2 linked regions of the Ovis aries genome follow. The protein of the gene in region 1 interacts with the protein of each later gene in a pairwise test. Links are inferred from orthologs where the notes say so. Each region holds a gene or a part of one and is shown in the gene's direction. Other genes may lie near its edges.

What was found.
Region 2: the proteins of RBM10 (region 1) and RBM12B interact in a two-hybrid assay, tested with the Homo sapiens proteins (3 studies listed by BioGRID). The link is inferred for Ovis aries from reciprocal best matches to the Homo sapiens genes RBM10 and RBM12B.

The regions. Positions count from the first base shown.
Region 1 is NC_056080.1:57,646,318-57,649,961, reverse strand, and holds part of RBM10 (RNA-binding protein 10), read left to right. Parts: intron 1-1,046; coding exon 1,047-1,230; intron 1,231-2,707; coding exon 2,708-2,938; intron 2,939-3,644. UniProt on the Homo sapiens protein: Binds to ssRNA containing the consensus sequence 5'-AGGUAA-3'. May be involved in post-transcriptional processing, most probably in mRNA splicing. Binds to RNA homopolymers, with a preference for poly(G) and poly(U) and little for poly(A).
Region 2 is NC_056062.1:83,453,867-83,457,610, forward strand, and holds the start of RBM12B (RNA-binding protein 12B), read left to right. Parts: upstream 1-1,538; 5' UTR 1,539-1,672; exon of another isoform or gene 1,673-1,918; intron 1,919-2,335; exon of another isoform or gene 2,336-3,744.

The DNA.
Region 1 (3,644 bases):
CTGAATATTAATTTCTGAACACAGCATCTTGACTGATTTATTTGTAATGATTTTTCCATTGATTCGCTGAGGCAGAGGCAGATACATCCTCATATCATCTACAAGTAATAGTAATTTTACCATCTCCTTTCCAGCTTTTAATCTCTTTTTTCCTTTGTTTAATTGTTTACTAGCTAGTTTCTTAGAATAATAATCATGGTGTTGATAATGGGCATTCTAGTGTCATTTCTAACCAGGATTACGATCCTGCTAGTAGTAGTCTAGCTAGTAGTCTATGTTGGTGTCCAGTTTTTCTTGTTTTAAGTAGATACGTATTGGTTGCATTTAGAATACTGGGAGTTCCCTGCTGGTCCAGTGGTTAGGACTTAGTGCTCTTTAGAGTCATTATTTTATCAAAAGAGAATTATTGGGCACCTGCTGGGTATTAGGCACTAAGCTAAGCTTTGGGGAATACAGCAGTGAACCAAATAGGCGTGGTCCCTTCCCCAGACTCAATCACCAAATAAATGCACATTAAATCAGTGTTGAGCTAATTATTTTAGTTATTTCAGTAGGAGAAATTTAACAAAACAGCTGCCAGCGCTAGCAAGGTGACCATGAAACAGAGGGGCAGAGTGGTGCAGTGCCCAGGGAGCTGAAGGGAAAGAGGTCGGCAGGGACCTCAGCCCACAGGACCCTGCAGGCCTTGTAGGATCTTGGTGAGCATTTTGGTGTCTTGAGAATAAGAGGAAGCCATCGGAGGAGCATTGTGGTTGGGCTTGGTTGGCTTTGCCTTATGAAACACTCACTTGCTTTGAGGGTGGAGAGAATGAACTGGAGGAGGCCTGGGTGGAAGCTGAGGAGACCAGGCAGGGGGCTACACCTGAAGGCCCAGTGAGGGAATGGAGAGGTGGGGAAGGGAAGGAGAGAAGTGGGCTGGCTTTGAGGGAGAGGTGGTGGCAGCCTGGGAATTAGGGGTTGGCCTTAGGGATCCCTGTGGGGGTGGAGCTGAGGACCTCTTTCGGAAAGGACTGTCCTTTCATCCCTTCCTGTCCTTCTTTCCCCAGAGGGGGACGTGGAGACAGGACTGGCCGTTACGGAGCCACCGATCGTTCACAGGATGACAGCGGGGAAAACCGTAGCCGGGATCATGACTACAGAGACATGGACTACCGCTCATATCCCCGCGAGTACGGCAGCCAGGAGGGCAAGCATGACTATGATGACTCGTCCGAGGAGCAGAGTGCAGAGGTGAGGGCTGGGGGGCCGGCTCCTGCAGGGCCTTGATCTGGCTGCAGCCCCGCGTGCAGTAGCTCTCCATTCCCATGCCTTCAGACTGTGCTCAAGGGCTTTGCCTCACCTGAAGGGTCTGTCCCCACTCCCCTCTCTGAGGGCTCCTCTCCCAGGTTGGGTCTCCCTGACCTCCACATGCTTGGCTCTGTACTTCTGAGGTCCCCTGGCCACCACCTCTCTCCCTTCTTCCCTGTTCTTCAGGGTTCACTGCAAGCCCTCTACTGCCTGCTCCCAGCCAGTTTGGGGACCCAGCATCTAGGGTCAGGAGGGTACCTGGATGTCACGTGGGTATCAACAAGCGGAGTGGCTCTGGGAGGCTAAGTGTGGGCATTCCCAGTGGTGGCAGAGCCCCTAGACAGAAAGGAAAGCCCCCTCAGGACTCTCCTCTGAGCTCCAGCTAGCCACTTCCATATTGGATAGTTAGCCCTGGCCTGAGGGGAAGGCATAATGCCCACCATCAGGGAGCCCCCATCTGAGATGAAGCAGCCTTGCCTTATGCGAACCCCAGGTTGAGGGGGTACTCAGGGCCCTGGTCCACACAGGTACAGAGGAGTGGGAAGGGTACCCTTGCAACCCCAGCCCTGGGAATTAGAATATGGGCAGCCAGCCACCCTCTGGGGGTCCAGCACAAAGACCCCTATGGTGGGCAGTCAGGCTTCCTTGGTGGCAACTGTGAGCTGTGCCTGGATGTGTCCAGAGCACCGGGTGGGCCCTGGGTGGACCAGCAAGAGTGGAGAGTTGAGTTTTCGGCCCCCGTGAGGGTAGGATGGGCATGGACCCAGGCCTGCCTTGCTTAGTGCTGAGCAAAGGGTTTGGGCAATGCCCAGGAATCCCATGACCACACCCTGTTAGGAAGGAGCATGGTGGTGACGGAGGACTGGCCAGGCAGTGGATCAGGGACCGAGGGGCAGTGCTGTAGTCCTCGCAATCTTTGCCAGCCCTTGCTGGCTGACTCTGGCCGAGGTCTTAAGCGATTCCTAAACCCACAACTTGGTGACAGGGCCCAGGCTGGGAGTCTTAAGTGACATGTGGCCTTCTGTGGCACAGGGAACAATTGTGCTTGTACTAGCTGAGCTGGCGAGGGGGGAGGGGGCAGAAAGAGTGTAGGGTTTAGTGTGCCAACCTCCAACAGTCTCGTCTCAGGGACGTCTGCTCACCTGTCTGTGGGAGTTCCTCCCCGACACCAACACTGCCCCCTGCTTCTCCCCAACTCCCCATCAAAGCAGCCCCCGCAAAGCATCTGAGGGAGAATTTCAGCTCCCAGGAGGATTGCAGTTTAGGGCCTGCCCACCTTGCCTGCCCCGAGCCTTTAGCCGGAGCCCGCCCACCCCTGGCTTTCAGAGCCTGCCTGCCTCGGAGAGCCAGCGGCCAGCCCCTAGGCCCACCCTCAGACTGACTGCCCGCCTGGTGTCTCTCGTCTCATTCTGTTGGCCAGGATTCCTACGAGGCCTCCCCGGGCTCCGAGACTCAGCGTAGGCGGCGGCGGCGGCACAGGCACAGCCCTACCGGCCCGCCAGGCTTCCCCCGAGACGGCGACTATCGGGACCAGGACTATCGGACCGAGCAAGGGGAGGAGGAGGAGGAGGAGGAGGAGGAGGAGGAGGAGGAGAAGGCCAGTAACATCGTCATGCTGAGGATGCTGCCACAGGCAGCCACTGAGGATGACGTACGTGCTCCCCATGTCCCCGGGCAGGCGGCAGAGCAGGAGGCCAGGCTGGGTCCCCTCCAGGGCCCTCAGCCCCTCCCTTACCCCCCACTTCCTCGGCACCTTTCAGCCCTTCTCCCCCCAGCCCTGTCCCCCAGCACTGCTCTGCCCCCGGGGCAGGCCCCGTCATCTCCTAGTCTGGAAGGGAGGAGTGTGGCACAGGCTGGTTTGGCCAGGGAGCTGCAGCGGTGGCTGTGGGAGGGAATAGAGCATTCCTTCCACGCATTCTGCTGGTGATCATCCCTTCTGCATATGCCGATCAAAGGCCAAATGCTCACCAGGCCCGCTGCCAGATATTGCTGTGATGTGGAGACCCTGCAGGCTGGGGAGGCTCTCCATGGGATTTTCTGAGGTTTTATTCTCATTCCCTACCACCTGCTCTCTTTTGCCAGCAGCCCCGGATCTCCTCACTGGCACAACCACAGAGCCTTGAGTCCTCCTTCCTTCACTGCTGTTGCAGCCCTCCCACCCCGTCTGCCTGTGTGACATTCCCTCCCTGTCCGTACCAACTTCCCTTCATGAGCAGGAAAACCCCATGTGGGCCACTAGAATAGCCTCCTCACTACCCTACCCAGTTCTCCTCCTCCTCCTCACGGCCTGTGAAGGCTCCACTCAGCTCTCCCCTGAAACCTGCTGGCTGCCTGTGCTGTCGCAGAGAAAACCCCAC
Region 2 (3,744 bases), on another chromosome or scaffold:
TTGAGTAGTTCTAGAGCCTCAGTATATGCTCTTTGTAACAGACCAGCAAAATAAGCGACACACCCATCAGCTGGTGATGGCCCAATTCAATATAAGGAAACTTTTAGGGATAGAAAATGTAAGTGAGATCAGAACGTTTAGATAAACGGTTAAGAATGAATATGCTTTAGAAATCTCTAAAATAGTCTTTGCAATTTTGCTAACTTAAAATTCTGGAGTTGTATTAAATTGAGGAAAGTTTATTGAATAGCTGGTCATTCCCAAATAAGATACTGAAACATGAATTACTGAACAATGACTTCCTTTTACAGAGAAACTAAAGATATTTAAAACTATTAATGAATGTGTTTGGTGTCGCCCTGCGATGTTCTCAATCTGAAAGCTTTTTTTTTTTTTAGAAATTATCACTGGTATTTGTTACTAGTCTACAAAATACTAATGCAGAGGACATTAATTGCTTACTTCTTAGTTTTCACAGGAAATGAAGGTTTTAAGAGACGAGGATTATAATTTAAGTATGTGATTAAAGCTAACAGAAATAAAAAATTTTCAGCAAACAATAGGAAAGCAGGGTGTAAGTTATCAGTAAAGATGGCATGTGGAATGGAGTTGAATTTTATCGAGGGAAAAGGAAATCGGTCTGACTTAAAGCTGACTGTTTGATTGGAAAAAATAAAGTTGTTGTACAGAAAGTGGTGAACCGTTTGAGGAAAGCAGATCCCAAGAAAACAGCTTTGTGCATGATCAGGAGTGACGCGGGGCTTCCCTGGTGGTCAGCGGCAAAGAATGTGCCTGCCAATGAAGGACGCAGGAGGCACCGGATCGAGCAAAAATATTCCAGTCTCCTAATCTTGGTGAGCTTAAATCCGGCCTGTGGTGATTTCGTTGCTGTTCCTCCTTTGATTAGGAACTGTCTGACTCTTTGCGACCCCATGGACCGTATGTAGTCTGCCAGGCTCCTCTGTCCATAGGATTCTCCAGGCAAGAATACTGGGCTGGGCTGCCATTTCTTTCCCCAGGGGATCTTCCCGACTGAGGGATCGAACCCGGGACTCCCACTTTGCGGGCAGACGCTTTGCCGTCTGAGCCACCAGGGAAGCCAAAGAAACAAAAAGGGGACAAAAAGGCCTCCGCGCCCAGGAGTCCCATGGGGCGTTAGTCAGCATCCAAAAGTGTTTCCTCTGCTTTTGCGACTCTTTTCGTAGCCCTTGGGAATCACGAACGTTCGTCTAGTGTACTTCGGCTGTTACACACGTTCCCCATCACAGCCGTCTGCTGACAGCAAACTCCTGTTAACGGAAGCTCTCCGCCCGCCCCGTAGAGAGTCGCGCGCGGCGCGGGCTCTGAGCATGCGCAATAGCTTGGTCCCGCCGGGCCGCTGGCAAGCGCGCGCCCCGGCGTCTCCTCCCTCCCGCTTGACAACGGGAAGTCTGCGAACGTTAGGGCGCGTGCGCAGACGGACCGAGGCGACGGGAGGGGGGGTGGGGGTTGGGGGGACGCCTGCAGAGCGCATGGGCAGAGCCACCGTACGTCCGTTTGTCCGGATCGGAGGGGAGAGAGTGGGCGCCATCTTCTTCTGGGTTCGCTGAGGGCTCTCCCGGCTCTGGGGAGGCTGCTGCGGACGAGGAGAGCTCCCCGCCCCCAGCCTTGGGGTTCCGACTCGGCGGCAGCGGTGTGTGTTTGATCGCCCTAGTGCGAAGCAATTACCGCAGGGGCGTCGGGCGTGGGGAGGGCCTGGCGGCCGGGACCGAAGCACAGGGAAAGGCGGGGCCGCGCCAGCAGCGAGCGTAGCTTCTGCCGTCAGGGCACCCTCTTTTCCCCTGCTAAACGCACCCGACTTCCCGGCAGCCTTCATGTGGTGTTGTGCGTGCCCTTTTCAGTCGGCTTGAGAGAGTGGAGATCTGGAAGGATTCCATAGGTACTTGTTTTTCTTTGCTATGTCATCGTAGTCAGTGGTGGCAGGAAAAGCGCTTGGAGGCCTGGCTAGTTTTAGGCTTGAGGGGAGCCCAAGTGTTCAGGTGTAGGGACAGCTCACCCTTGGGCGAGTCGGGGCGGAATGTTTGCCCTTGAGCCGGTGTAACGGAAAGGCACGGAGGTTGGGTGGTCCAGGTTGATTTGAAGGCTGATTTGGCTGAAGGTCTGGCAAGAACATCGGATCCCACGTAGGAACTTTGGCCTGGAGCACAAGAAGGAAGCGCTGACCCCTGGGAGTCTGGACAAAGGCTTTTTGAGCTATAGAAGCAATGCCTTCGGATGATCCCCATTTGAGGAGGATGGATGTTAATGGGAATTCCGGTGCCGTGTGGATTCGCCTTCATTTCCAGTTTCTACTGGGGACCAGGCTCTGTCGTCATGGCTTTGGCTTTTTATTTTAATCATCTACGTTATAAAAGGATAAAAAGGCAAATCGTCATAAAGAACCCTTATGGAGTGGGGTAGATTATTTTCTGCAGGGTTCACTCTTGCATTTTAAATGTACTTCATCATAACTTTAGGTTTTAAGAAATAGCAGTTATCTCTCTCTCACCATGTCTGGAAAATGACTTGCTATTCTCTAGTTATGATAAATGGATCGGAGATAATACCATTTTAAGTTAGCTTTCCTTCCATTTCCCTCTAAGGCTTGATTAGAAAATAAGCATTTCGTGGGGTTTTTGTGATAATGATTAAGTGGGATGAATCGTTGGGTAAAATCAGCTAAGTTATTTAAAATGAGCTTGTTAATTTCAGCCACTTACACTTAAACGAGCTTTTAAGGATTCAGTTCCTTTTTTTGGGGAAAAAAAAGAAGTTGTAATAACTCACTCTTAATCAACACAGCTATAAACATGGTTTTGTTGCATTCGTAAGACGCATTTTAAGTGTTGAGTAGGGTTTTTTGCTTTTTGTGTAGTTCTAAGAATAGAATTTCTGGGGTATTTGCTTAGGAAAATCACGTGGAAACTACAGGAAAGTTGCTCATTTTGATATCTGGTTTCTTACAGGTGATCTCCTAAGTGTATTTCTGTAGAGGGATAAATAGTACATTACCCTTCTATTTCAAGGGCAAAACAGTTTAAGCAATAGTTATGTTTCGCTGTGGCAAATTAGAAGAAAAAAATTTTTTATATTTTTGAATTGGAATTCATGAATTTGTACTCATGAAACTACTTAGTTAAAATGTTTTCAAATTGGTAAATTATAAGACTTTTAAAAACTTGACAGTAATTATTTTGTGAAATGTTCTTGGCTATGTTTTTAAAAGTTTAGCAGGGATAAAATGTTTTACACTACTTGCCAAAAGTAACAGGAGCTAAGTCATTTTGCATAGGAAAGAGTCTTGGAATACTAATGTGAACAACTATTCCAGAAGCCATTTGTAGTTTTTATTAAAATGTTGGTGTGGGTTTGTTGAAGAAATTAAGCTTATACTCATTTTTGGGGTGTTTGGGGGGTACCATTGCAGATATTGTCCAATAGACTAAGTTTTAGAACTATTTTTTTTATGTTCACAGTAATATTGAGTGGAAAGTACAAAGATTTTTTATGTGTCCTATGTCTGCACCACCATTTTCATGCATTAATATTTTATAGTAAACCTCACTAATTGGAGAAGGTGATGGCACCCCACTCCAGTACTCTTTCCTGGAAAATCCCATGGTCAGAGGAGCCTGATAGGCTGCAGTCCATGGGGTCCTACTAGTCGGACACAACTGGGCGACTTCACTTCCACTTTTCACTGTCACGCATTGGAGAAGGAAATGG